Linked DNA regions of Pelodiscus sinensis. The protein of the gene in region 3 interacts with the protein of the main gene of each other region in a pairwise test. Links are inferred from orthologs where the notes say so. Each region holds a gene or a part of one and is shown on either strand. Other genes may lie near its edges. The genes, in order: transcription cofactor HES-6-like, FOXA2 and TLE1.

What was found.
Region 1: the proteins of TLE1 (region 3) and transcription cofactor HES-6-like interact in binary tests that used the Homo sapiens proteins (3 or more experiments, as listed by UniProt). The link is inferred for Pelodiscus sinensis from reciprocal best matches to the Homo sapiens genes TLE1 and HES6.
Region 2: the proteins of TLE1 (region 3) and FOXA2 interact in a two-hybrid assay, tested with the Homo sapiens proteins (2 studies listed by BioGRID and IntAct). The link is inferred for Pelodiscus sinensis from reciprocal best matches to the Homo sapiens genes TLE1 and FOXA2.

The regions. Positions count from the first base shown.
Region 1 is NC_134720.1:10,123,072-10,133,305, forward strand, and holds transcription cofactor HES-6-like, read left to right. Parts: upstream 1-6,440; 5' UTR 6,441-6,666; coding exon 6,667-6,747; intron 6,748-6,831; coding exon 6,832-7,078; intron 7,079-7,171; coding exon 7,172-7,617; 3' UTR 7,618-9,094; downstream 9,095-10,234. Other genes in the region: uncharacterized protein LOC142830745, read right to left, coding at 2,308-2,501, 3,502-4,021. UniProt on the Homo sapiens protein: Does not bind DNA itself but suppresses both HES1-mediated N box-dependent transcriptional repression and binding of HES1 to E box sequences.
Region 2 is NC_134713.1:196,615,760-196,624,972, reverse strand, and holds FOXA2 (hepatocyte nuclear factor 3-beta), read left to right. Parts: upstream 1-5,020; 5' UTR 5,021-5,464; coding exon 5,465-5,559; intron 5,560-6,247; coding exon 6,248-6,317; intron 6,318-6,954; coding exon 6,955-8,157; 3' UTR 8,158-8,800; downstream 8,801-9,213. UniProt on the Homo sapiens protein: Transcription factor that is involved in embryonic development, establishment of tissue-specific gene expression and regulation of gene expression in differentiated tissues.
Region 3 is NC_134716.1:39,160,581-39,170,677, forward strand, and holds the start of TLE1 (transducin-like enhancer protein 1), read right to left. Parts: upstream 4,647-10,097; 5' UTR 3,562-4,646; coding exon 3,538-3,561; intron 2,572-3,537; coding exon 2,471-2,571; intron 2,276-2,470; exon of another isoform or gene 1,803-2,275; intron 630-1,802; coding exon 566-629; intron 475-565; coding exon 430-474; intron 1-429. UniProt on the Homo sapiens protein: Transcriptional corepressor that binds to a number of transcription factors. Inhibits NF-kappa-B-regulated gene expression. Inhibits the transcriptional activation mediated by FOXA2, and by CTNNB1 and TCF family members in Wnt signaling.

The DNA.
Region 1 (10,234 bases), on a different chromosome or scaffold from region 3:
GGCCACTTCCTGGACATCTACGGGGGCTGGTCCGGCCGGGCACACGACGCCTGCATCCTCCGCAACTCTGGACTCTTTCGCAGGTTGGAGGCGGGCACCTACTTCCCCCGGTGGGACTTGACTGTCGGGAATGTGCCTATGCCCATCTGCGTCATCAGGGACGCAGCCTACCCCCTGCTGCCCTGGCTAATGCGGCCCTACATGGGGCAGCCAGACCAGAACTGGGCCCGGTTCAATGACCGCCTCAACCAGGCCCAAAATCTGGTGGAGCTCGCCTTCGGACATTTGAAAGCCCGCTTCCGTTGTTTGCGCACCCGTCTCGAGATGGGTGAGCGGAATGCAACGGAGGTAGTGGCCGTGTGCTGCGTGCTCCACAACATTGTGGAGCGCAGTGAGGAGGCCTTCCTCCCTGCATGGATGGCAGCCGAGGCACAGACGTTTGAACAGCCCCACACAGCTGCTGTCCGCCAGGCGTGCCAGGATGCGGTGCGCATCAGAGAGGCCCTGGTGGACATGTTTGCCCAAGCCCCGTAGTAGGGTTGCCTGGGTCTCCCCACACGACTCCCTCCCATCCCTTCCCCACCCTCTCCCCCCAATTGTAAAGCGTCGGTTCCAAGCACATCGGCCGTCATCATGACTGTTCGTCGGGTGCGTCGGACGTAGTTAGGGTGTTTCTTTTTAGTTTAGGCTAGCGCTTAGGCCACCATCGCCTGTCCCAAAGAACAGGGAAGAGGATTCGGGGTTCGAGCGGAAGGTTCAAGTCAGCATACCTGATTCCAGTCATCTTCGAGGGATCTCCTGGCTGTTCCTCTCCTGAGGCCCGGAAGGACCAAAGGATTGAGGTTGCCAGCTTCGCCCTCATCTTCCGTCAAGGGATCTCCTGGCTGTTCCTCTCCCAAGGCCCGGAAGGACCAAAGGATTGAGGTTGCCAGCAACACTAATGTCACGGGGCGCACGCCCCCCCAGTAGCCTCAGTGCCCCCTGACTGTCTTCACATGGCCCATCTCAGGGCAAGTTACAGTCTGTATGGGTTGCTCATCATCAGCTTCACAGCAGTTTATACTGGCCCTTTAAACAGGCCGAGTCCACAAACGGATTCTCGTCGTAGCTGGGCACCCCCCCGGTAGGGGGACCTGGGCCCACCCTACTCCACCGGGTCCCGGCCCAGGGCCCTGTGAGCGACCAGGTATAGGGTCACTCCCTCGGTGGGGCTAGCTAGCCAAAACCCACCAAGGCTCTCAGGCCAAGAGGGGCGCCTCCCGCTCCTGCCCTGGGCCACTTCCTACCTGGCCTTGCCCAGCTGGCTGCGATCTCCAGGCCGGTGTCCCCTCGGCAGGTAGTCTCCAGGTGACACCAACTCGCCTCTGCCTTCCTCCAGGCCTCTCCTGCCATCCCCGGCAACTGCTGAGGGAGAGCTTCCCTCTCCAGTCCGTCTCCTGCAGCTGTATCCCTCCCAGGAGCTCCTGCTGCCTCTGCAGTCAGCCCTGCACTCCCCCTTCCAGCAACTGGGCCTCTCCTTTTATAGCTGGCAGCTGAGCTCATTAGTCTAACCATCTCAGCTGGTCTTCCAGCTTCCCTCAGGCTAGGGCCTGAGCCTGGGGCTTAAAGGCCCAGTGCAGGGCAGGCGCCCTGTCACAACTAACAATCATCCTCCCTGCACCTAGACTATGTTACATAATCTTTAGTGTGAGTCTTTTAACCGTTCTTGCTTGTTTGTTATCTATGTTAAATATAGTTAGTGGTTTAAATTCTACTGAAAAGTCTCAGTATTTATTTATGCGCCACAAACCAATGACCACTTAAAAAGGGACCCCCGGTGATAGAATACAGAATTTGGTGTCCACAGTTTGTAACCCTTTTAAATTTAGGTGGCTAATTGGCATCTCAAATCATTTCTTACAGTTACCTCGAGTAACACAATAACCAACACAAGAATCAACTGAACAATAGACTTTTTATTTACAAGGGGGAGGGGGAGGAGACCTTCAACTGGAACAGGGAGGGGGAGGTGCTACTGGTACGGGTGGCCCCTGCGAGCGCTTCTTCGGGGGCGGACCTGCACATGCGGGGCAGGCTGCATCGGGGCAGGCTGCACGGAGAGGTGGGCAGGAGCTGGGGGCATAGGAGCAGGGGCGGCAGGAGCAGGGGCAGGAGCTGGGGGCATAGGAGCAGGGGCCATTGCAGGGGCATGGGCAGTGCTACGGGAGAGATGGTGGGGTCATAGGGTACGGCCATGCCATAGTGCATGGCGTGCACAAAGTGCGTAGTGAGGATGGCCATGGAGTCAGCCATCCTTGTACACTGTGCCTAGAAGGCACCCCAGGCCTCCTGCCGCCACTGCAGGTCCCCCTGCACACAGTCATGAATGGAGCCCTGGATTGCCTCCACCGCTACAATGTGGCGGCGAAGCAGCTGGTCCCGGTGTCGGAGCCTGCGCCTCCAGGGTTGGCCAGCTGGGGGTGCCGCTGCTGCCGGACTGGAAGGTCTTGAGCTCCATCCCGCTGCAGGGAAAAGAAGAAAGGATGGGTCAGTCAGGCAGGCCGTCCACTGTCCCCACACCTCATGCCCTCCACTCCTGAGCACAGGTGACCCCACAGTTGTGTGGCTTGGGCCCACTCGGTTCCTCCCTTGCCCCCCGTGTTGTATGTTTGCAAGGAGGACCGCCCCTGGAGTAGGGTCCTCCTCTAGTATTGTAACCACCGGTCTGTGTCCTGGCCCCATGGAGGGCGGGAGGGTGCTTGTGTTGCGTACACCCATGGAACTCCCTGCTGGTGGAGACTGTGAAGCTTTGGGCTAATCACTGGTGTTTGACAGGGAGCGAGATGCATCCCCACACAGTGCCTGAAAGCACATCTGGCAGAGGTGGTCTGGGTTCTCAGATCCCATCGCGTGGGATATCTCCTGGACAGAACCAGAAGAGTGACTGGGGGGCAGGTGTGTCCCATCCTTGCAGCAAAACTCAGGGCGGGCCTTCTCCCTCCCACTATCCCTCCCACAACCCCAGTAGCCCAGGGACATGTGTGGCCACGGTGGGGACTTCCCTTGGGGAGCCAGTCAAGGCACCGGGAGCAGGCGAGGGGCTCGGTGGGGCATGGTCACAGGACCGTGACGCTGCGGCGTACCCAAGAGCAGCTGGCTGTGCCTCACAGCCAGGCATGGGACAGTGTGCCGTTCTCCGTGCTGCACCCTTGGCGGAGGTGCGGGCTCTGGGCTGAGTCCCTGGGGCCCTGGCTGGTCCCAGCCGGCATCCATCCTTCCCCCTGGTCCCGCCGAATGTGTGTGAGCAGCACGGTCCCAGGCGTGCCCTGCAGCTGCCTACCGCAACCACGTGCCACTCGGTCACCAGGCTGCACGGGGTTGCACGTGCTGCTTGCTGTCTAATGCTACACAGCGTGCAGCTCACGTGGCCTGAGTGACATGCTCTCCCCGTCCCCCCTCCGGGTGCCTGGCTCCCCCCCCCGCCACCCTCCGCCCTTGTGAGTGCAAACTGCAAAGACTCACCAGTGGATCCTTCCCCGGCCTTGGAGGAGCTGCTGGAGAGGGCCTGCTGGGTGGCAACGCTGGCCTCCTCTCCCGAAGCGCTGATGCTGTGCTCTTCCTCCCCTGCCTCGGTGGTTCGGATGACGGGGGGGCGCTGACAGGTGTCAACAGGCACATCCGGGCCTTGCAGGGCTGGCTGCCCGAGGATGGCATGCAGCCGGTCGTAACGGGGGCAGGTGTCTGGTCCTGCCCCCCTGCCCTCGCTGGCCCGCACGTACCCCAGCCAGAGCTCTTTCACCTTTGCCCGGACTTGCTCACTGTTCCGGACAGCGTGTCCCTGTTGGCTCAGAGCCTCGGCCATCCAGACAAAGATATCGACATTCCAGCGCCGGGACCGGATGTCATGGAGACCCTCCTCCTCCTGCCAGAGGTCTAGGAGGGTCTCCAGCTCCCTGGGGGTCCAGGAGGGAGCCTGCCTTTTGCAGCCCCTGGGGGCCTCCTGAGCTGGGGGTGCAGGGGACTCACCAGCAGGCGCTGCCATGGCTGGCTTCTGATGCTGGCTGAGCAGGGCAGGGGCGCTGTGGCAGAGCTCGGGCCACAGGGCTGAGGCACGCTCCTGCCTCGTGCACTCAGCAGCCTGCAACTGCTTTAGAAGCTCGGGTTACCAGGAAGTCCAGGGCTCCTACTGGGTCTCCAGGTATCCAATCCACTTTTTTCCGTTTCTTCTGCTTTTTCGGAAAAGCGCTAGCTTGCTGTCTACACTGGCCCTTTTCCAGAACAGTTTTCCAGAAAAAGGACTTTTGCCCGAATGGGAGTGGCAAAGCTTTTCCGGAAAAGCAGTTGATTTTCCGGAATAACTTGCCAGTATAAACACAGCCTAGGGCTACGTCTAGACTGGCATGAAAAGTTTTCAGTTAAAAGCATTTTCTGAACAGAGCGTCTAGATTGGCACGGATGCTTTTCCGCAAAAGCACAAAAGCACTTTTTGCGGAAAAGCGTCTGTGCCAATCTAGACGCGCTTTTCCGCAAAAAAGCCCCGATCGCCATTTTTGCAATCGGGGCTTTTTTGCAGAAAACAAATCTCAGCTGTCTACACTGGCCCTTTTGCGCAAAAGGACTTTTGCCCGAATGGGAGCAGCATAGTTTTTCCAGAAAAACACTGACAATCTTACATGAGATCGTCAGTGCTTTTTTGGAAATTCAAGCGGCCAGTGTAGACAGCTGGCAAGTTTTTCTGGAAAAGCGGCGGATTTTCCGGAAAAACTGGCCAGTCTAGTCACAGCCATGTAGTACTGAGCAGAAATGAAGAGTGTTATGCAGAACACATACAGAGAGGCAGACAGATACAGGTACTAGCATATATCTATGCATTTGTCTTTTTGTGCCTAAGATGTTGATTACACACACACGAGATGCATCTCATTTTCTTAGATAGTCAAAATATGACATACATTACCAACAAGGAAAAAGAAGGAAACAAAGAAGTGAGAGCAAACACCTGTCGCTCTCCTTGGGGACAAGACCTAATGCTTTTTATTTGATTCAGTCTGTTGAGGGGACTGCAGCTGCCAACTGTCATCAGCATCAAGTTACATTCACAAAGACACATTCTTTAGGTTAAGGAACAGAAAAGGCAACAAAATCCAGAAAGGAAGGGAGGAATTTTTCAAATGTGTTGCAAATACATTGGATCATGATTCTTTATAGAATTTCAATGTCTGACTTGATGATCAGTCTGATTTTGAAGAATACACATGCTGTTTCATGGTAATTGCTAAATAAATCAAGTATTCAAAAGACAAACATCACCTAGAAAAAATTTAAATTAGTCTATGATTGTATGTAAATATTCACATTTCTCATAATATTGAATTCTTATGAGGGCCTACTCCTAAGTCATTGACTTTAATTGGAGTTTAGATTAAGTAAGGACTTGAAGCCTGGACCCATGGCATTTTCCTCCAAATATCTGTATCTGCTTTCCTACTTGCACAATTTAGCCTTCTTCACACCCACATTGTTGATTACAACAGATCTCTTACTTTTTTATGCCTTTAATAACATGAATACTGTTAAGAAACAGTTGTCAGGGAGATTTATAATACACTGTAAAGTACACATACCAATAAAGTAACTGGAAATTGGTTCCTAATATCTAATAAATAGAGCAAAAGAGATTTCTGCTGGTTTTTTGAGGTTTTTTGTTCGTGGAATTATGAAAATTTGGCAGCAATTTAATTGTGAACACCTTTGGAAATGTAGCATGAATTCTAGAAAATGGTAACTGTTATATGTTCATGATGTAGCCTGGAAGATTTGTTGATAACAATAGAAAGAGTTTAGGGGACTTTATTAGTGCCAAAGATAATAATATCCCTTATGAACAATAGACTTATGATCTGCAGTAACGGTATTGTAAACTGTTTGTTCATAGCCACTAATCCTGGTTCTCAGTGTTCCATGCTATTATTTAGCTCTAATTCTAAGAGCACAGCAAGCAGAGGAAGAGTTGGTAATGCTGCTAGGCAATATTTACCTCCCTTGGTTCAGCAGAGTGGTTCAGTAAATTCTCTGGTTTGGCCAAGGGTCAGGCCCAAAGGTGCTGGACAAGCAGTACCAGATGGCTCGTGGGAACAGAAGAGGGAGTAGTTTCCTCAAGAAACATAGGGCTTGGTGCCAGTGTTCCCATCCCTTTTCACATGTCTGAGCTTCCTTCCCCACTTGAGCAAAGACTTCAATTGGAGTACTCTGCTGGAGTTCAGATTGAATCCCATCCTATATACAGGGTAGTTTGTTCCCACTGCTGAGTGAATCCCATTACAATCGACACAAAAAAGCAGGCAGGGGATGACCCCAACCAACGCCATCCAACCTCGAGCATCCTGCCCTTCCCAGCCCTCTCGCCTAGCCTCCCCTCCCTCCTCCGCACTAGAGGAGATTCAGAACGCCTCTGGCTAGACAAAGCGCCGGTCTCCCATTGGTCAGTTCGCTCATCGCTACGGCTTCTCCCGGCTCGCAGTGACCAATGGTCTCATTGACATGCAAATCAGAGGCTATAAGTAAGGCCGGGGAGCGGCGCCACGGGGAGGGGCGGGGGAATCTCGGGCTGCCTGTGTGATCCAGTTGCCAGCTGCCGCCTCCTCCCGCGCCCCTCCCCCGCCCGCGGCGTTTGAGCCGCGCTCCGCCATGGCCCCGTCCTCGCGAAGCAGCAAGAGCCGGCCCAGCCGGGAGGAGGAGGGCGCCTGTGAGGCGCGAGGGGACAGGAAGGTGAGCGGGCCGGGCCGGGCGGGGAGCGGGGCCGCAGGTGGAGCCGCGGCGCTCGGTGCAATGTGCGTTTCCCCTTCTCCCCAGGCCCGGAAGCCGCTGGTGGAGAAGCAGCGGCGCGCGCGGATTAACGAGAGCCTGCGGGAGCTGCGGCTGCTCCTGGCCGGCACCGAGGTAGGCAGCGGGCGGGGCCGGGCGGGCCGGGCCAGGCGCGGGGCTGATCGCTCTCCTCTCTCGCCGCGCCGGCGGCAGTTTCAGGCCAAGATGGAGAACGCCGAGGTGCTGGAGCTGACCGTGAGGCGGGTGCAGGGCGCGCTGCAGAGCCGGTCGCGCGGTGAGTGCCCCGCCGAGCGGGGAGGGGGCGGGGCGGGGGACGGGGCGCCCCCTCACTCCCGCTGTGTGTGTTCTCTTGTGGGCGCTGCTGCAGAAAGCGACAAGTTGCACCGGGAGGCCAGCGAGCGGTTTGCAGCCGGGTACATTCAGTGCATGCACGAAGTCCATACCTTCGTCTCCAGCTACCCGGGCATGGATGCCACCCTCGCCGCCCAGCTGCTCAACCACCTGCTGGAGTCCATGCCGCTTAACGAAGGCAGCCTCCAGGACCTGATTGCGGACGTTTTGTCAGAGCCTTCCATCAGCCTCTGGCCTGGCATTGAGGGCCTCTCCCAGCCCACCGGGGTGTCCTCTGCAGCTCTGAGCCTGGCCAGCCCCCCTACAGCTCTTCTTTCCCCGTCCTCCAGTGAGGAGACCTGTTCTGATCTGGAAGAGACGGAGGCCGAGCAAAGTCCGACCTCCCCCACTGGACTGGACAGTTCCCGGACATGCAATGTGCCTTCCCCTAGCTTTGCCAAATCTATGTGGAGACCTTGGTAAATACAGAAAACTGCACAGGAATCAGCAGATATCTACCTAGTAATGGGGGAATACTTGAGCACTGTGTTCTCCTTACAGCCATTGGAATAGACAGTGGGGCTTTCAGATGGTGCATTGGGTGTGTCTACCATTACTGTATTTCAGGACTGCAGAGATGGCACTCTTACACTGTCAGACCCTGACAGGTTAATTGTTAAATGTGTTAACATTCAGCAGTGTGAGAGATGTTTGGTAACTGTTGGATTGTTTTTGGAAAGTTTGGAGTGTTGGGAGGGGAGAAGATTTTTTTTTTTTTGTTCGCAAAGCTCTTTGGTGGATGCACAATGGTATTTCACATGCTTGTCTCATCCTTTTGGCCCTTATAAAAGGCCTCAATATCACTTCCTTTTTCTGTAAACAAAAAGCCCTTGTGCATTTTATACCTTGGTGGTTAACCAATGAGGTATATCACGTAAGTGTGCATGCACAATTTTAAGCATTATAGTGAAAGTAAAGATCCCTGAAAGGGATTGGTGTGGTTATTGTCTTTTATTATTTAGTGGTCTGGAATCTTGCCTTCAGTGAAGGAAGAGTAAACTAGAGATCAGTTGGAATTAGACAAACATTTAATATTGGTGGCAGGGTGCCTTTTAGAAATGAGTGTTTATGCACATTTTGCTTTTAGCACATTTGAGTTTGTGACTTTATGTATATTAGGGTGTCAAATGTTTTATTTTTAATCTTTAATAAAATATTGTATTCACAAATGATCGCATGTATTTTGGAGTGTAACACACTTCTGACCACTTTAAAATTAAAAATCCAGTTCCAAATTGTTTGGTATTAACACATTTTTATCTATTGTGGAAAAATACTGGTAATTTAGCACTTAATTCTCGTACTAAGCATAGCTAGCTTAGGTATTGGAAGTTGAATGTTTTTGTTTAATACTGAAAGATGCTTAGGATATTGAAGGAAACCAAGGTAGTGGTATTGTAGGTTGACTTTAGGATACTAAAATTCCTGGGAGTGGTTGTGTGACTGCCATTCTCAAGCAACTACTTAACTTGATTTCCCCAATTAAGTCTTTTTTGTAATGCTGTAGTTCTAACTTGAGTACTAGGCAGTTGATCTGCTTGTGTCTCTTTACCTGTATTCTGCTATAAGGATTGACAGATGTTGAAGTGTGTGAAATAGATTTGAAAATTTTCTCCAAAAAGAAAATACTTAATGACCTCTGGAGCACCAGCATTCATGTATACAAGGTCATACACCTCAGTGTTCCTATTTTTTGGAAGATATAGGTTATTTATACTAAGATATTACCTTTCACAGCTCTGTTGTTAGGAAAAGTATTGTGATGTTGCTTCCTTAGTACATGTGGAGGTATTTAAGAATAGAACCAGCTAGGAGAGGAAGCACAATAAGTACATGGTGATGAAAACATGTAATTTTCTTTTGTTAATAACCCTGTGAACAATAAAATTGGATACCTAAATTATTGGTAGACCTCTGTTTTGTAACTTTCTTTAAATTATCTGATGTGGGTGTTTTTTCACAGCTGAGTTGTTTGTTTTCCCTAGTTGTGCTAAAATTCTCACCTGCCTTTGAACTAGCAAGCAGAGCAGCACTTCTCAAAAGAGGTGAGAGTACTGCCTGTAAAGACCTTTCTGCTTTAGAGAGGGAGGATGGTGTTTTGATGTGTAAATGGAAGTAGTGGCATGGACAGTTCAACTAAAAGTAACACCCTAAGCACAAATGACATCTCTTGGAAACTCATTTCACAGAGTGAATGTGATTCCAGATTTGTTTAAAAGAAGTGATTGCCCTCCAATAATACCTGCATTCTGAACATTTTATTCTTAGCCACTGTTCACTAGTACTAATAGTAGCAAAGCATTATAGTGAGTGCTCAAAGATAAATTGAACATTAAAAACATTAGGCTCTGGCAAATGATTCACTTGTAAGATTCTCTTGAGGGAAGGTAAAACCATAGGCTATTTCCTCACCACAGCAACAAAAATGCCCAGCATTTTAAAGCCCTAGTCCAGAATTCACCAGCCAGCAGGGCAGAAAATGGAAGACAAATCTAACCTGTGCCAAGGTAGTGAAGATGTGCACAGTACCCCCTGCAGCTTAAACAGTGTTGTATAATTGAGTGTAGGTTGCATTCACTTGCATGAGATACTTCTGGTGAAGTCCTGTGCATTCATGTGTGTTGGAACATTTTCTCTATCAGTCATGCATGTCCAACAAACTACTCTTGTAATGGTTTTCCTCCAGCTCCTCCAAGTGTACTGCTTGCAGGGAGATTCCCTGGCAGCAGGGAGGTGCTTGGCAGCCTGGGGAAACTGCTGGGGCAGATCAGCTTGATTTCATTTCGATGAGATAAAAAGACTTGGTTAGGGCTCTTCTGAGGGCCTTGTGAAAGTAAAGTGCAAATCCTGACACTTGTGTGATAGAAACATGACAGAAGACATGCCAGCTTTGGTTCAGTAGTGAATTTTGTAGCTAATAAGAGTCATTGCCCTGTAAATCAAAGTAAAAAAGCTTTGCCCTATAAGTCTTACAGAAGGAAAGCTTGAGGGTAAATAGTGTGATTTCCCTAATCTCATATATACCCACTATATTTTCTCT
Region 2 (9,213 bases), on a different chromosome or scaffold from region 3:
TGAAGAGGGATGGTGTCTCTAGCCTCTATTTGTCAGAGGCTGGAAATGGGTGACAGGATAGGGATCACCTGATGATTCCCAGTTCTGTTTATTTCTCCTGGGGCATCTGGCCACTATCAGAAGACAGGACACTGCGCTCGATGGACCTGTAGTCTGACCCAATGTCACCGTTCTGATGTTCTTATGTTATGATATGTAGAGTTCCCTGCTACAGCACAAGATAAATGCCAATTCCTTGTGCAAAAGTTCTCAACTGAATATTGGCCTCACATCAGACCCTTATGTTTCCATTCTTTCCTCCACATGATCGGAGGCACTAGTCCGGGGCATTTCATGCACCGATTGTCCAAAGGAAATCGTTTCCTCCTACCCTTTGGCATTTGAGGTGTCTCCGAAGCGAGAAGCACAACCCTTGTTTCAAATGTGTATTCATAACCAAAAAAAATAGGATCAATCAGTCCCTGGATACCATTTATAGCATGGGCATGATGGGTTCATGTATTTCCCAAATGCCCCCCCCCCCGCCACCCCACGGCCTGCATTCATGAGAAGCGGTGGATGCAAATCTCTGCATCACTGTATGCAGAAAGTGGAAAGAAAACAAAGATTAACACCTCCGTTGCTCCCTGTGGGTGCTGGAAGGGCAAGCTTCCTCCAGGAGAAAAGGGGCCTTGGTTTGAAATGTCCTGGTTACCGTAGTTTCCCTTCCATAGTGCCTTCCCTTGGATTGGGAGAATGCGGTGTTTTAACAGGCTTTTAGGGGCCAGGTGCACAGACATCTGGAGGCTAGTGAGTTCTCACTCTTCTCCAGCGTGGAGAGAACTACCAGGGTGGAGTTTCAGCGGGTAGCCGAGTTAGTCTGTTACAGAAAAAAACAGCAAATGATCTGGTAGCAATTTATAGACAAACAAAACATGTAGATGGGATCATGAGCTTCCGTGGGCACAGCCCACTTCTTTAGATGACTGAAACTTCTGAAACAGAACAGTTACTACTAAGTATCCATGTAGTAACAGGCAAGGGAATGACACCAGCTGATTGTCTGTCGACCAGCTGGGACTGAAAGATCCATCACACACTCTAAAAAGCATCGCAGCAGCGGGTCTAAAAGGTTCAGACTCTCCTGTCTTACTCCTGCTCTCCCAGATCCATTTTTAAAGGACCTTTGCAAATGCCCTGTGACATTCTCTGGTGGAAATGCAATTTACGCCTACTTTAAGGTGCAAATTACACTTTGACACTGGCACATTCCCGTCAAAGGCCTGGGTGTAAATGAGCAACAGAACTTGAGGATCTCAGGAGTGGTTCTGGTCATGGGACCAGACCTATGGAGAGTATATGCCATTCCAGGGACATCTGTAGTGCACCCGCCAGCCCTGCAAAATGTGAACACAGAGGGCATCTGGTTAACCGTAGAAATCCAACGGCATGACTGCAGGGGCAGACCTGGGGTCTTCTTCTGTAGTCGGGAAAGGCCCTCGAATTAGAATATTTGGGGCAGAAATCTCAGCATTAGTAAAAGAGAAAAGAGAAATCCCACAGGATCCTTTTGGAACCTCTCAGGTCTGGGGGAAGATCCTTGTTTCCATCTCTGTGACTAACGGACTTCCCGGAGAGGCGGTCGCTAGGTTGGATGAGAGAAAGACTTAGCTGCATCTGCAGTGGGAAGGGGCTGACATTTTTCACAGCTCTAAGTGGTGTAGTTAGAGCTGATCTCACTTTTAGGTGCAGGCCAGACCTAGGATAAATGTAGGCTCTGAGCCAGCAAAGCTTTATCGATGTGCTTAATTGTATGCGCTGTGAGGAACCCTGCCGAGATCAATAGCAAGTCTAACCGCGTGTTAAGCGCTGTGTAGGTGTAGGCTGGACAATCTGATTGGTGCTAGAAAATCCTCTTTAAGGACTTGCTCCTACTATTGTTGAACTCAGGGGAATTATTTTGCCCTTGACATCTGTTAGACGGTTAGAACACGATCACGTAATCATTCCTCGTGGCACTGTTGCCATTTGATTTCATACCTGGGGAAAAAAGTCACCTCCCATCAGAACCATGCCAAAAAAGATTTAACTTAATGTCAAGCACTAAACTAGAAATAGCTGATCTTTGGGTCATTCACCCTCAATTATTTATATGCAACATCCTCTTAATTGATTTTACTTAATCAGCTCCTTATATTTTCCCTTTCAAGCAATGCATTTTTCTGTTGTATTGCATATGGTTAAACTGAGCGGGAGAGGAGCGTGGAAGGAAACACTGAAGTACAAGCCACATGCACTGTTCTAATGTGATGTAGTGGATGACCAACACCAAAAAATAGTTGCTCCATCCCTAAAACAGATCTTGCCCCAGTTTTGACAGGTGAGTGAAGAGCCCATCACCCACATCTTCCCTGGCCTCAGTTGCCCATCTGTAAAATGGACACAATATTCCTTCCTTTCTTTTCTCTGTTGCTGCAGTGTGCTCAGAATGTCCCTTCCTCCTCGAACCTCCCTACACCAAAGCCTGCAAGTGTGTCCTCAGAAGGTGGTTTCCCCCTGGAGGAATCCACTGTAGCCAGATCAGGTGGCTTTTAGGGACACTGGCAGCCATTTCAAGGGGCCCCAAAAAGAATTACACAGACTAAAGGGCTAGAATGAACCATTATGATAATTTAGTGTGACCTCTGACATCACACAGGGCCACAGAATTCTACCCAGTGATTTAATCAAACCAATAACTGTGCTCAGAAGATACATGAAACCTCACAGGAACAAGCACATTTAGAATAGACAATTGTATTGTGTGTGTATGGAGTAGGGGTGGGTGTGGGGGGAGGGGAGGGGAGGGGGAATGTTTAAATTGTCCAATTAACCTCTTTGCAATTATTCATTAATGATAGTTGGTTGTCTTGTGGGGCTATGGCTGCTGTTTAATAGGAAGGATTCTTTAAAAGTGTAGTCATACTGAGAAGAAAAACAACCGCTTGATGTACCCTTCATCTGAGGCTCTAAAATCACTCTACAAGCATTTGGTTACAGTAGAAGGATCAGGCAGTATGCCACTGTGCACAAGCTAAGAAGCAGGCTGCTTTGGACTCTAAAATGAAGGCTAACACATAGAGGCACTGGTTTTAGGGGCTAATCCACAGCCCAGTGAAATCAATGGGAATCTTTCCATTTACTTCGATGGGCTTTGGATCAGGCCCCTCATCCTATTGAATATGGAGTGCCATTGAACCAACGACAGGGGGCGCTCTACCACTATATTTTAATCTGTAAGACCCTGAAAAGGTGCCAGAAAAACTGTCTGTTTCCATCAAGCAAGACACAGGAGAAGCGCCAGTTTATCTATTTTTTTAAAAGAGTGCTAATCAGATCTTGGCTTTCCACACTTATTCCCAAGGGACCCTGTAGCTTGGCTTCTGTATTGTCATCATTTAGTTGAAACAATAAATACGGACTCTTAAAAAGCCAGAAGAAAAGCCGCTAATTCTGCAGAATAAAAAAAGAGAGATTCATATTTTTATTAACAAAATATTCAGTTTCTCACAAAATCACGTTGGCTGATTTTTTTTGTTGGCGTCCTTTAACATTTCTGTTTAATCGACTGTTGGCTTCTTTAGACATGTCTGTACCCGTTATAAAATTATTCATTTTATGAGTGTCTGCGTGTAAATGAAAAACCTCTGGGGCGGTCTATATCAGCATTATATTATAATTATTATAAAACCTTCGTTCTTAGAGTTGGGAAGTGTTTGTCTTCTTTGAAAGAAAAGTTAGTGGGACATATTACGCCATTTATTGATAGTGATATCTTTTTAGGGAGAAGTTTTGTAAGACAGACAGATAGATGTGTATGGGGACGAGGGGGAGAGAGAGGTGTATGCCGATAAATAGCCAGATAGCTAGATAGCGGAGGTATATGGGGATAGATAGATAGATAGATAGATAGATAGATAGATAGATAGATAGATAGATAGATAGATAGATAGATGGAGTGTATGGGGATAGATAGATAGAGGGGATGTATGGGGATAGATAGATAGATAGATAGATAGATAGATAGATAGATAGATAGATAGATAGAGTGTATGGGGATAGATAGATAGAGGGGATGTATGGGGATAGATAGATAGATAGATAGATAGATAGATGGGTTGTATGGAGATAGATAGATAGATAGATAGATAGATAGATAGATAGATAGATAGATAGATAGATAGGGTGTCGATTTCAGTGGACATTTGTACATGAAAATAATGGATGATGCCAGGACACCGTCCCCTGTTTTTTTTTACGACAGAATTTTGTCAGACAAAACTAGAATCACTTGTTCTCTTTACAACCTTAACTTCAAAATTCGGATGGAGACCAGGTGTCTGCGGGGTATTGGCAACGAAATAGGATCACTCCCCTTCGCAGAATCGCTGTTTTCTATTCCTCGAGAAAGACCGTTTAATCTCTCATGAGCCGAAGCTGTTAAAGACACTTGACTTCGTTTAATGTCTCAAACAGCGGCTGAAGTATCCTCAGAAAATAAAGACAAGTTCCAGCCTTTGGTCGAACAACTGTGGCAAGAAGAGCAAGTAGTGTTCTCTCTGTCTGTCTGCCTGTCTCTCTCTCCATACACCATATCTATCTATCTATCTATCTATCTATCTATCTATCTATCTATCTATCTATCTATCTATCTATCTATCTATCTATCTATCTATCTATCTATCTATCTAATCTATCTATCTATCTATCTATCTATCTATCTATCTATCTATCTATCGATCCCCATACACCTCCTCTGTCTGTCTGTCTGTCTGATTTCTTTCTTTCTTTCTTTCTTTCTTTCTTTCTTTCTTTCTTTCTTTCTTTCTTTCTTTCTTTCTTTCTTTCTTTCTTTCTTTCTTTCTTTCTTTCTTTCTTTCTTTCTTTCCCCATACACACTCTCTCTCTCTCTCTCTCTCTCTCTCTCTCTCTCTCTCTCTCTCTCTCTCTCTCTCTCTCCATACACATCCATCCATCCATCCATCTATCTAAGAAAACAGGGACACGGGAAAAGAATCCCCCACTAGTTACAAAATGGACTCTCAATTAGCAGGCCCCGCGAGGAAGCTTGGCCGAGCGTGTCCCAGACCCATGACCCCGCGTCCCCTTCCCAGGGGGCTGCGTGGCGAGCTGGCCGGGGACGGGGCTAGTTCCCACGGCCAAGCGTTGGGATGCGGGGTCGTTCCCGCTGGGAAGGCGTTGTGGGTGAATTGGGACCTGGCCGGTAGTTCCTGGGGGCAGCCGCTGGCGCAGGAGACGCTGCTCCGGGCTGCGGGAGACAATCGCAGGTCCCGGGCCCCGGCTGTTGGCTCCCGCACCTTGCCCCTGTTTGTTTTAGTTACCTCGGCGGTGGCTGGGTAACCGCGGGCCAGGCTGCCCTGCCGCCGCCGAATGGGCGCTCCCCAGCCATTTCACCCCTTCCTAAGCCCCAGGCGGCGCGGGGGGAATGCGGCGTGATACCCCCGCCGCTGCTGCGGCTCGGTTCGGGAGCGGAGTGACGCCGGGTCGCGCGCGCCCGGAGCCGCGTCGGGAGGGCCGAAGGTGTGTAAACAGCCCGGATTCGAATTAGCGCCAGGCTCGGGCTGGGTGGCCGGCTAGCGAGCCCCGAGGGCCGTGCAGCCAGGCTCGCAAACCAGGAAGAGTCCAGAGCTGGGGAGGGAGCGAGGGAAGGGGAACTGCTGCGGTCCTCACTGCAGAGCACCCCACATGCCCTCCCCGCCCCCGGACAGAGGCCAAAACAGGGGCCCATCAAGCCGGGTCCAGCCGCAGCGCGCTCGCCCTGGGGCCCGATCCGGCCGCCCCCGCCGCGGGCAGGTGCCCTGTCGCTTAGGTGTGAGCTGATTATTCAAATCGGCTGCCTGGGAAGAAGGGATTGGAGGCCGGCCGGGGGGCCCCCCGGTGCTATATCTCCCAGGCCCCCACGTCACAGCAGCTGCATTCGTCCTGCGCCTCCTCCTTTCCCCAGCGCCTCCGGGCGAGTCTGGGCTGAAAAAAACCCCCCACCACTCACCCAAGCAGCGGCTGCAGGAGGAAAAAAAAAAAAAAAAAGCATCCACCCCAAGCTAGCAGCCTGCTCCCCTCCCCTCCCCTCGCAGGCAGGCAGCGCGGGAGTGAGTCTGGAGGGGAGGGAGGGAGGGCTGGGGGGGGGTTGGTTTTTTTTTGGGTTGTTCTCTCTCCTGTCGTCGGTGGTGGCTGTTAAATTTTAAACGGCCATGCACTCCGCTTCCAGTATGCTGGGCGCCGTGAAAATGGAAGGACACGAACCCGCGGACTGGAGCAACTACTACGCCGAGCCCGAGGTAGGACGCCCGGCTGGCTCCTGGGGGGGAGGTGGGGGTGTGTGCCTGTCCCCCCCCCTCCCGAGCAGGGCGCGGGGCGGCTGCCGCGCCGGGTGAGCCGTGAGATAATATTAACTTTGTGCTCAAATATTGACTCGCGCCGCTTCCAAATCCTCTGCCCGGCCCGCGCTCTCCTCACAAAGTTGTGTTTGGCAGGGGAACCGCCGGGGGGGACCGGGGCGGGAGGGGGGCCAAGGCAGACCGGGGAGAAGTTTGTGGCCGGAGACGGGGTTTGGGGACGGAAGGGGGCAACGCGCAGGGGGCGATCCTGCGAGCCGAGCCAGCCGGCGGGTCCTGATCCTCGGATCCAGGGGGGTCGGGCGGCCAGCGGCTTGGGAGCGATTCCAGCCCGGCCAGCCCCCCCCCCCCCCCCCGCGATCCCACTGCCCCAGCGCGGGGCGACCGCTCCCTCTCCCGGCGCTGCTCTTGCGGGGAGCCGCCGGCTGCGGTTCCGCCAGAGCGCAGCGCGCCCCGGGGCTTGGGGAGCGGGGGCAGGGGGGGGCGCGCTTGGGGGGCGCCCCAGCCCCCTCGCTCGGGCGGCCCGCACTGCCTGGCAGCGGCGTTAACCTCCCCCCTTCCCGCTCCTCTCCCCTCGCAGGGCTACTCCTCCGTGAGCGGCATGAACGCGGGCCTGGGCATGAACACCTACATGGGCATGTCGGCCATGAGCGGCGGCGGCGCGGCCAGCCTGGGCGGGCCCGGCTCCATGAACGTCTCCTACGGCGCCGGCATGAGCCCCTCTCTGGCCGGCATGTCCCCCGGGCCGGGGCCCATGGGCGGCGGCATGGGGGCCCACCTCAGCCCCAGCCTGAGCCCCATGGGCGCCCAGGGGGGCTCGCTGGCCCCCTACGGCAACATGACGCCCATGAGCCCCATGTACGGGCAGGGCAACCTGGCCGGCCGCGCGCGGGACCCCAAGAGCTACCGGCGCAGCTACACGCACGCCAAGCCGCCCTACTCCTACATCTCGCTCATCACCATGGCCATCCAGCAGTCGCCCAACAAGATGCTGACGCTGAGCGAGATCTACCAGTGGATCATGGACCTGTTCCCCTTCTACCGCCAGAACCAGCAGCGCTGGCAGAACAGCATCCGCCACTCGCTCTCCTTCAACGACTGCTTCCTCAAGGTGCCCCGCTCGCCCGACAAGCCGGGCAAGGGCTCCTTCTGGACCCTGCACCCCGACTCCGGCAACATGTTCGAGAACGGCTGCTACCTGCGCCGCCAGAAGCGCTTCAAGTGCGAGCGCAGCAAGGAGGCGGGCGGCGGGGGAGGAGCGGGGGCCGGGGGCGGCGGAGGAGGCGGCGGGGGCAAGAAGCAGCCGCCGCCGGCCCCCCAGGCGGCCCCCCAAGCCGGGGAAGGAGGCTCCGACAGCGCCGCCGAGTCCCCCCACCCCGGCGCCTCGCCCTGCCGCGAGCACAAGCGGGCCCTGGCCGAGCTCAAAGCGGGGACCCCCCCGCAGCAGGCCCCCTCGCCGGCCCAGCACCTGCTGGCCCCCCACCACCTGGCCCACCCGGCCCACCTCAAGCCCGAGCACCACTACGCCTTCAACCACCCCTTCTCCATCAACAACCTGATGTCCGAGCCGCCGCCGCCCCCCCACCCGCACCCCCACCCCCCCAAAATGGACCTCAAGGCCTACGAACAGGTGATGCACTATTCCGGCTACGGCTCCCCCATGCCCGGCAGCCTGGCCATGGGGCCCGTCACGAACAAAGGTGGCTTGGACCCCTCTGCGCTGGCCGGAGACGCCGCCTACTACCAAGGGGTGTACGCTCGGCCCATCATGAACTCGTCCTGAAAGGGCTCCCCGGCCCCACCCGGCTAGGGGACGGAGGTCGGCCCTCGCCGGCGTTCGTGGCTCCAGCTATTGTGTCTATTTTGTGTCCGGGACCGACCTCCGAGGACACGTTCCCAGCCCGGTCCAAAGGCCAACGGATCGGGCCCCGGATTGGCCCCGGAAACCCCCGTTTCAATCGGAGACTTGGGGTGCTTTCTTGGGGGGGGAGGGGCGTTATTTGATGTCCTGGGCAGCGGAGGGTGGGGTCCTCTTTTTCGTTGCAGGGAGTTATAAATATATCTATTTTTTTTCCTGTGCGTGCGTGTGTGAAAGTGACGGAAAACTTAATTCGGTGTGAAACCAGGCTAGTTCGGAAAGGGAGGACCAAAAGTCTTGTCATGTTGTGTAAAAAGTGGGAGGGAAAAAAAAACACCAAAAAAAGGTTAAAAAAAAAAAGAGAGAAAAAAATCACAAAAAGAAAAAAAAAAGTCAGGCTAGATTGTTGTAATTGATACAAACGTTTGATGTTACCGGGCGAGTAAACTACTTGGATCTGATTAATTTATCGTTTCTGTATGCTTTATTTATGGCTTATAAATGTGTATTCTGGTCCCAAAGAGCCAGATTTTCACAAAAACTATATTAAAGTGTTATTGGCGTTTTTTCCCCCTGAATCTTTTTTTCCCGGATTTTCCCATTTGTTTCTGCCCCGCTGGAGGGGGGAAAAAAACGCTGACAAGGAAAACGAAAAACGAATGGATTCCCTTTTTATTTCAGATACTAATATATATATTTTTTTTAAATCTCTACCTAGGCTTGTATCTTTGTGTGTATTTATTCTTTCTGAATAGCATACATTCATATATGGAAAGAATGTAAACCTTTGTTTTATAAGATACAATATATTTGTATATATTATGAGATATATCTTTATTAATATATATTTAATAGATTATATAGCTTATATATAATACGTACTATATCTTATAAGATATATACACATATGAAAAATATAAACTGTCTAGGCACATCTATAAAAAGATATATATTATATACACACACTACATATCGATTAAA
Region 3 (10,097 bases):
GTCACTAATCTTTTCATACTTTTAAATTGCTAGATTTTGAACCACTGTCAACATATGCTGCAGATGCATAAGAGACTGATTAGACAGATCCAAGGTTGTACCATCTAGGAATTTCCTCAATTTATTTCCTTATAAACCACATAACTGAAAAGTCTATGTTTACAGAAATGAGCCATTTCCTATATATTTATCCACATACTTCAGACTCAGCACCAACACAGCCCTTCTGTTCTGCAAGCCTTATTTGTCCCATCATTTTATATTAGGCAGGTGAACAACATTTACTAGTCGCAACTATGAATCAATGCACTCTTTCAGACATACTGCATGAATTCAAATATAAATCTAAGAGTTCTGTTTTAGTACCATAAACAAATTATAAGTTGTAAGTATAAATTTAGTACTTATGAACTTAGATGAACATCTTACCTGCTTGTGCATTTCAATGTTTAATCCATAGGACATTTCATAGTACTGCAAATAAAGGGAAGTACAATGTAAAACCAGCATACAATAATAAAATATTTACTGTTATAAACAAAAAGGAAACAAATCTTACACTTACCATCACATAGTGCCGTTGCATTTCTGTCTTTTCACTTGCCAGTTTCTCACATTCCAATTTAAGGCTACAAAAATAAAATAAGACACTTTAATGTAAATGTTTGACACTTGTTTTGACATCTACCTGCCCTATTTGCACTTTATAGGGAAAAGCCTAAAGCTTATGGGTATTTACATCAATTGCTCATTAGACTAGTGTAATAGAAAAAAACTGAATATGAATATTAAGAGTACATAGCATCCTTCAAATCAGATTCATTTTAAATACATACTAAATAAGGCTTTAAATATTAAAACACTATATACTTAGAGTGATTACCAAACATTGCCACAACCCCCAGGACTATTGGATTGCCCGAATTCACTAGTTTAACTCTTAGTGAACTAGAAAGCTCTTTACACTTCACATGTAATGTACCAGAATTTAACAGCAACACCACTGTAGGAAATTCAAGGGCATTTCAATTCTAGACTTTTACTCCAAGAAATCTGATTTTGTACTTCACTATCTTGTCAAAGACTGGAAAAGAGGTTCTCTCTTTTTTTTTTTTTTTTTTTTTTTTAAGTATTATTTAAAATTCGGCGTGCCTTTATTTTTTGTTCTCCTAAGTACATAAAAAGTAAATGGAGAAACTAGTTTCAAATAAGCTGTACCATTTACTACTCCAATATTTCCAATTTAAACAAAATATTAGATACTACTTCTTTAAAAAAAGAATCTATTACCAGTCCATATTACAAAAAAAAAATAGTAAATCTATCCAAATGGTCATCTTTTGTATATGTAACAGTACACAGTTGATGCACTTTTAAATGCAAGAGTTATCAAAAATAAACACAGGCCTTTGTGAGTTACTATTTAGAAATAAAACCCAGGGACAACAACATGAAGAATGTGTAGTCCAAACTTTAAAAAGATAGAAATATGTACATGGAACTCTCTATTCATCTCTACTCAAACACAGGATACAGCAATACACCAAGGGACACATTCCCTTTTAATGCCAAAAGTACTGTCCATACAATAAGGGGAAATACATCCTTGACATGGGCAGAGACCTCAGCAACATGCACAAGAACTGGCAATATATCAAGAATAGTATAGCAACCATAACTTAGATTACCAAAGCAATGAAATTCACTTATATGTGGTAGCACACTAAAATACTTGCATGCTTTTTTAAAAATCCTTATTTGCTCTTTAAAGTCTTATTTGCATCAAAAAAGTGCAGACATACATAAGCTGAGAACCAGCCTTTTACATTTTCCCCTACAGTTAGAAGGGGATATTCTCTCCCAATACTTTGTAGGCTTTTCACTAAAGAATCCTATCAAAGAGTTAAATTCCACACTCCCATCCTGAGCATTTTACAGATGGTTCCATATATTAAGTGCCAGAGCTGGGCTTAGAACCTAAACTGGTCCTAAACTCAGACACTCAATTTCACCACTGGACTTCACTGCTTCCCATTGAACTTCTAGTTCTTATTAAAACCTTATTTCAACAGTCCTTAGTACTGGAATGCGGTAACATGAGGACAAAGTCACCCATTGACCTGCTGTTCTGAACACAGCCTATTACAAAATTCCCAAGAGCAAATATTGACAGTTATTGTGAAGCTCTAAAAACACACAGAAAAAGTTCATCTGAACAGCAGCAAAACAAGCTATGAAAACAATGGCAAGTAAAGAAAAGGAGTGAATGACAGGACTTAACTGTGACTCCACACGCCACCATCTGGACACAGACATAAAACACAGCTTCTCCCACCAGCAAAAGTGGAGATAAGAAATACACCCCACTGAACAACACGTTGTGCACCAGCCTGAAATCCTCAAACGCAGTATGTGCCTCAGGCCTGCGGTGCAGGGAGAATTGGGTATGAAAAAAACATGATGCACCCACCTGTGATACTGAGCTTGGAGGAACTGAAACTCCTCTTTGATCCGATCTAGAGACTCTGGAATAGTGAATTTAAAAGGCTGACCTGCAGCCTGGTGTGGTGTCTAGAAAGGCCAGGAGAGAAGAAAGAAGGCACAAGAAAAGAAAAATGTTTAAACAAAAAACAGTGAGCAAGGCCATAAGATGGGCATGAAAGATAAGCTACTTATCCCACTGTCTTGGCAGGTAGCTTCTTAGGAAGCACCTGCTCCCACCACCATTTGCCACCCTACAACTGGGGCACCTCCAGCAACACATGAACAACTGTGTGTGCTAATGGAAGCGGGGAGAAACTTGGAGATCCAGCTCCTCCTTCCACTTATCACGACTGCCCACTACACCTCCTCCCCCACAAAAAAAGAAGTTGGTTTTCACTCCACCCTGGAACACCCCTCAACTCTCCTTACACTTGTCACCACCATCCCAGGAAAACTAGTAGGTTGCTAACCGCTCCCTGCTGTAAAATCAAGTGCGGTGGGGGGGGGGGGGGGGTGGAAAGGCGAGCTCATATCCTGTCCCTGGGTCCAGCAGCCAGAGCTTATTTGGCCACAACTAAAGAAGGGGGAAGGAGCCAACCTGGCGGGGAGGCGGGGGAGCGTCCCGGCCCCGCCATTGTCATTTAGATGCAAATAAGTTACACATTAAAACAAAAGGGAAGGAGGGAGAGAGGAGACGCCCTACCCCCATCCCCCTATGCTCTCCGGTAGACAGGCAAGGTCTGAGTTCCGGGAAAGGGACACGCCGGGGGGGGGGGGGGGGGGGGGGGGGGGGGAGAAGAGCAGGAAAGCCAATAAGTTGCCTCGTGCCCTGTTGTGGGTCTGCTATTCTTAGGGCAGGAAGCCCAAGGGCCCGCGGGACTGCGAGAGCAGGAGGCGGAGGCGGTGGAGAATGTAGCCCCGACAGCGAGAGAGGCTGACTGGGCAAGCAGGGGTACTAGCCACTCACTCACTCACTCACCCTGGGGAAAGAGCAGCGGGGATCCCCGCTCTGTCACCCCCACCTGCGGGGTGTCCGGGCCTGGGGTTACTTACGGGATGCCGGCTCTGGGGAAACATGGCTCTGGCCGCCGCTTTGCTCCTGTGCAGCTCAATTCTCGACTCAGACCCCAACTTTAGATCCCGAGCCCCGTGCAGCCCCCGGGGGCAGACGCCACCGCTCAGCGCCCCGGCCGCGGCATGCTCCTCCCGTCGCCTCCTTTGTTGTTGTCGGGCTGGGGGCTCGGTCCCGCCGCTTTCTGAAAAGTCACCGGCAGGTGTCGGCTCCTTGGGCGCGCCGGCCCCAGCCGGTCCCCAGGCCGCGCCGCTCCGCGGGGCGGGGGCGGCACAAGGCGGGGGGTGGCTGCTCCCCTCGCTGCCTGACCGCCTCCTCCTCCTCCGGCCGCCGCTTCTGTCTGCAGCGTAAATAATCCCCTTTCGCAGGCTCGTAACTTGTGCAATTGTAAGACCGGAAACTCCGAGCGGGGGCGAATCCTCTCCCCACGGCTCCTGCCCGCAGGGGAAATCCAGGCCGGGGCGCGGGCGGGCTGGCACCAGCGGGACACTCAGCAGATAGGGGCACGAGAGAAAGTCCCCGGCGAGTGCCGCGCTGCTGCTGCTCCCGGGCGTTGGCGAAAGGGCCGCTCGCAGAGTAGCAGGGGCCGGCTCCAGCGGCACATGCACCGCGGAGACTCCTCGGGCCGTTGCAAAGAGAGAGGCACCAGCAACACCCACCCCCTGCTCCCAGGCCACCCTCCCCCCCAAGCGCACCCGGCAGGGCTATTCAAAGGCTAATCAACTCCTCCGTGGATCAGCCCCGCGGCAGCCTCGCTCGCAGCAGCGGCTCTCACCAGCAGCGCCCCGCGCGCAGCAGCATCCTGGGCCGGCGCCTCGCCCCGCTCACGGCCGGGACAAAGTTCTCTCCAGCGCCCCGGGGTGACACATCCAGACAGCGGCGGGCGGGGGGAAAAAAAACCCAGACCCCCCCCCCCACTTACAGCCGCGCCCCCATGGCTAATAGCGCGCAGGATGCAAACTCCGCGGGGTGCGGGCCGAGGAGCGCAGCGCCCAGGCAGTAGCAGGCTCTCGGTACACGGGACACAATGTATCCGCCCGCGCTGGCTACATTAACACGCGGTTTCACACTCCTCTAGCTAACCAGCCACCCGGCCCCGCCCACTCGAAGGGAGGTGGGGAGGACCCTGGCCAATCGCCTGCTCAGGCACCAACGTGGGGCGCTGATGTACTCCTCCCGCCTGCCCAATGGGGCAAGCGGCTGATCCCTCCAGCTCTCCTGGCAGAGCGGCAGGACCCTTCCGAGCGGACCAATAGGAGTCCGTGGAACGCTCAGAAAGGCTGGGGAGAACGGGAAGGACGGTGGGAAGGAGAGGGGAGAGGCTGAACTGTCACTCAAAGTAACGTGGGCGGGGGGGGGGAACCAGAGAGAAAGGAGGAGGAGGAGGAGGAGGAGGGGAAAGAGAATGGAGGAGGAGGAGGAGGAGGGGAAAGAGAATGGAGGGAGGAGTGTATTGCTGGGATCTGGTTTATTCCTCCACTTTGCCCTCCCTCCTTTCTCTAGTCTCAATCTGTGAAAGTAACATGGAAAGATAAATACTGCATCCTATTTTAGGGCAGGACCAGCTGCCTTTACAGCCAGACGTACAGTGCCCTGCTTAAACACACAAGCTAAGGTGTAGAGTGTTATGCACTAGGGCAGCCTTTGAGGTTAGTGTGTATATAGTTATCTGTATCCAATTTTTCTTAGAACAATTCACCTCGAGGACCAGAAGGAAAGTTATGAACATGACAAAACTCAGTTGCTGGAAAGCCAATTTACCCATAAGATCCACTAGTGGTCAACTATTTTAATGTCTTATGTATATACATACTCAGTTGTATTTAAATATAAATTATACAAATGACCACTTTATGCTATTATAATACAGATATACAGCCCATCCAAATCACCACAAATCAGGCCCCATTTTGCTCTCATACCTGTTTTTATTAAAAACAACATTCAGTGCTGTTCATTGTTGTAAATTGAAAGCACTTTTAGCCTATGATTTTTTATCTCAGCATTTACTTTCTAATTCTAACAGACAACTATGGTATGCATACATATTTGATTTATAGGTTATGTACAGACAGGTGCATAAACTATGGCACCCACTTATAGTGTATTTCAATAGAGGAGATACATAATAAAGTAGGAAGAAAGTCTCACCTCAGGTCTAATATATTGCAATATAATTTTAGACGGTAACCTCAGACAGAAATGAAGTTGTCCATATTGCGTAATACTGACTTTTTCTAAGGGAGTTTCATCAGAGCCAAGCACTCAGAAACTTCCAATATTATAAACAGTTTATAGGTCTATTTGAAATAGACTAGGGTCAAATCAATTCCACATGTTCCATGTGTGACTACCACCATGCCAAACACTGACACAGCCCACAATGGGATGTAAACATCTTTAGAACACATCCTCTAGTAACAACCATTTTATTTATAACAGAATTTAATAATCAAGCATCAGGCACGAATAGCTTTAAATTTAAAACAATGCTTTAATAAATGTTCATGTACTTATTCAGTTACTGTAATATATTTTACCTAGTGGAGAGATTCTAAATATTATAGGGAGCCACTTGAACATAAAGAGAGCAATTTAATAGTAAACATTTTTTCACCCTATATTTAAACTTTCCTTTAAATGTGTATGCGATTGATTTATTCATAATTGTACTTTCAGTATATAATTTAAATTAGAAGTGATTATAGTTACAATTCAATAGGAGTGAAATCGTTACATCTCTGAACAAGAGCAATGTATGGCTTTATTCAATTCTCTATTATTTTTGAACTGCTTTATTACCAATTTTACCTGCATTTAAGAAATGACAGAAGACAGAGGTGTGTGTGTGTAGGGGAAGGTGTGGATAACAAAAACTAAAACAAAGCTCTTATTACCTGTGAGTATTTTGCAAAATACCAGATGAATTTTGCACTCCTTAGGGTTTTGAATGTGATACTTATAAGGCTAAGAAAATATATTTTCTCCTTTCACCATTTCCTAAGGGTAGTCAACAAAGATTTGCTTTTAAATAGAAGGCAGTGTTTGTGGTAGCAGATTGTAAATTTGTCTAGTGGTTCATGCACAAGTCTGGGAGTCAGAATTTCCGAGAAGTCTATGGCCAACTCTGCCAATGATTTGCTGTGTTATCATGGGCAAGGCACTTAACCTCTCTGTGCATCAGTTTATTCATATAAAATAGATATTATTAGCATATTTAGCTATCTCACAGAGGCAGTAAGAAGTTTAATTAATTAATGCTTATAAAGCACTTTAGATTCCTCAGATGAGAAGTGCTATAAAATACAAACTATCATTATATATGGTAGGAGTGCACCTGGTAGTTATGGAACCTGAGACAACACAACACTTTCTCATCCAGCTTTGGTTAATACAATGCTTAGCCTGCTGGCGCAAGTTGTTAATGAGATATAAACAGATTAAGCATTAAAACAGCAGTATATTTTGGAACAAGAACAAAAGTGGATATTTTAATTGCTCACCTACATGAAAGTTGAAATGTCTTGTGATCTTTACCGGTATTTACCATATTTAAATTTTTCAGGGCATGTTTTAACAAATGCAGGAGAGCACTCTGTTTTCCTCATTCCTTTTAACAAGTTCTTTCTGACCTACTGAGGTGCCAGGAGCAGAGACTTAAGGGCATTTTGAGCCTCTTCCATCAAAATCAGAATGGATAAGCAGTAAAACCAGTCATAGAACTGTTTGATTATAAAACGGGTTGATTTTTGTAAAATGAAAGTTATTATATGTATTAAATAAATAAATAAATAAATACTCGTTCTTTCATGTAGTTAATTTATAATTCATCATGGTCTGATGGTAGGGGACCAAAATCTGCTCTTGGCAGACCATTTGTTGTTTTTTTACCAATGTAAATGTAATGTTAATTGCACTGGAGTCCATGATGTTTCTCAATACTTAAGCCAGTGCAACAAGAGCAAAATTTGGATACGTTGAAGAGTAAAGGTATAGAAAGCTCAGCTGTATCCCATTCAAGGTAATATTTTCTTTTAGACTGTTATACTGTAATAATTATACTACTGCATTAAAAATAATGATGTTTAAACAATCAAGCTGCTTTAATCTTATGTTTTAAATAAACATGCTGTTTGCAGAGGCCTTCAATAATAAAATACCAAAAATCTCTATTTAATCATAATTTCTACTCATTTATTTGAAATCTGATACTTTTTTCCCTTACTACGAGCATACTAATTTGATGTTCTGATTTCCGACAGTGTCAAGGCCTAATCCTGTTTTGATTTTGTACCAAAACTCACAATGACATCAGTGGGAGTTTTGGGTGCACAAACCAATCAGGATCAGGCCCAAAATGTAGTTTTATTATAATATTAGGTTTCAGATATAGCATCTTGCTCAATCAGAGGAATGATTTTCATTTGATTTATTTTTTTATTCTTTACAGTTAGCATTATTGGTTACAAGCAATATGAATACATTTTCACTTTTTAAAAATTCCCACAGAGTGGCAAAATCTTTATAATAAAATGCTGGTAATGTCAATTATCTGGAATTTGCTAATGGAGAAGAAAACTCTTTCTAAAAATTGTAATTTACTTCACTCCTCTGCAAACCATAATGCGGTAAGAAAAAAATTTAAAAGACAAGTATAAGATTTAATAGGGTTTATGCTTTTAAAATTATTTATTTAAAAATTCATTGGATTATCTTTCAGAAAAAGAAGATGAACATTTTAAAATATTTGGTTGCAATGTGCTTACTGTACAGCTAGGAGCAAAACTAGATGAAAGAGTGCCTGAGTCATATGGTATATGTAATATAATAGTGCTATATTTGAAGAGATTATAATGGTTATAATGAAATGCAAAAGGAGTATTTTTTCAAGATTCTGCCTTATTTATAAAATCAAAATTATAACAAGATAAAATTATTTACTTTATCATAATTCACTATATTACAGTTAATCAGCTCTTTACATATTTTTTCAACTTTTTTCAAATTAATAATTTGTCTTATAAACAGGAATTTTTGACAAGTTCCAGGATGACTTTTTTCCTTCATCTCGCGATTACCTTCTCTCAGTTTGTTGCCCTTAAAAAATTCTTCCAGACTAAGTAGGAAAAAAAAATCAGTAGCAAATTATGCATCAGTAAAACCTCAAATAAAATCAGATCCAAAGAATCTCTTGTGGTTTCACACAATATGGTAAAATTAGAGATTGCAGGAAACCAACAAAATTAAATTGGGAACATCTGAAGAGAAATGACCAGGGTTTATGAAAATGACACATTGACTAGCCAGTATGCTTTTATATCAACAATTTCTTTGTTAAGGCAGAGATCAAAGGAACCTGCATATGTTTTCATTTTATTTCAAGTCTAACTAGAAAATTACATCCAGATGTTTAATAGGCATTCTGTTGGTTTTTCTGCATTGATTAGATATGTTGGTACTGTTTGCTTACAAGTGTAGCCGGATCATTAGCTAATGCAAAGAAATGTTTGTAGTGAGTTGCTAATTAGGTCTTTTGGAAACTCTCCACACTCAGGAACAATTTGTATAGAGGCCAGAAGAACTTGCAATACTTGAAGAGTTGCTTTCCCGTCTGTCTCTGGGAAAAAACAGTCAGTCCCTTTCCCTAATCTTCTTTTGCCTACAGGGATTGCAGCTTGATCCCAGTGGGTTGAAGTGCAAATAAATTAGGAAGAGACCACACACACAAATCTCTTTTATCAGTCAATCTGCAGGCATGCTATTTGACAAAAAGTTAACCAATATGCAGTGTTTGAGAGGAAAATGTGTTAAATTTTCCACCTTAATATTATCAAATACACAGCATTTTGAGCATACTTTAGAGACAGATGGGGAAGCCCTTTATGATAAATGAGTGTACTTGAATCCATTACTGTAGTACTTATAATTACAGTAGCTCCTTTATAACTTCAGTACTTTCCCAGAGTACTTGGAGACAATGCTTTGGGGAAGTGAATACATGCCTGCTGAAGGAAAAGGAAAGGGTGATTAAGACCTCTGGGAGGGACTCTGTGAAAACTGTGATAAGACTAAAAAAAGGTGTCAGAGATATTACCCTTTTATAGTGTAGTCAGAGACTTTGTTTTAGACTTCATGGCTCCTGCCTGATAACCTTCTAGGTGCAGTGTCATCTTTCATAAGATACTTTATAATGTCAGTGACCTTTATAATGAAGACCACCTGTCAGTACATCATGCTTTTTGCCTCTCACTACAGAAAGAAATCATAGAAGAATGAATAGTGTGTATGTATTTTATATAGTAAGCGCACACATCCTGAAAATAAAAATATGCTTAACTTTATTAATGTGAATAATCACATTAAAGCTATTGATGCTACTCATATTAGTAAAGATAAGTGGTATGTGTGTTAGATGTTGTGGGATCAGCATGTATACAATAATCATACGCACACTTTTATAAATGAGGCTGTATGACTCCAGGGGTTCTGCTTTCCTCTGTGTTGGAAAACATCTAGAACTATTAAGATTATCATAAGATAG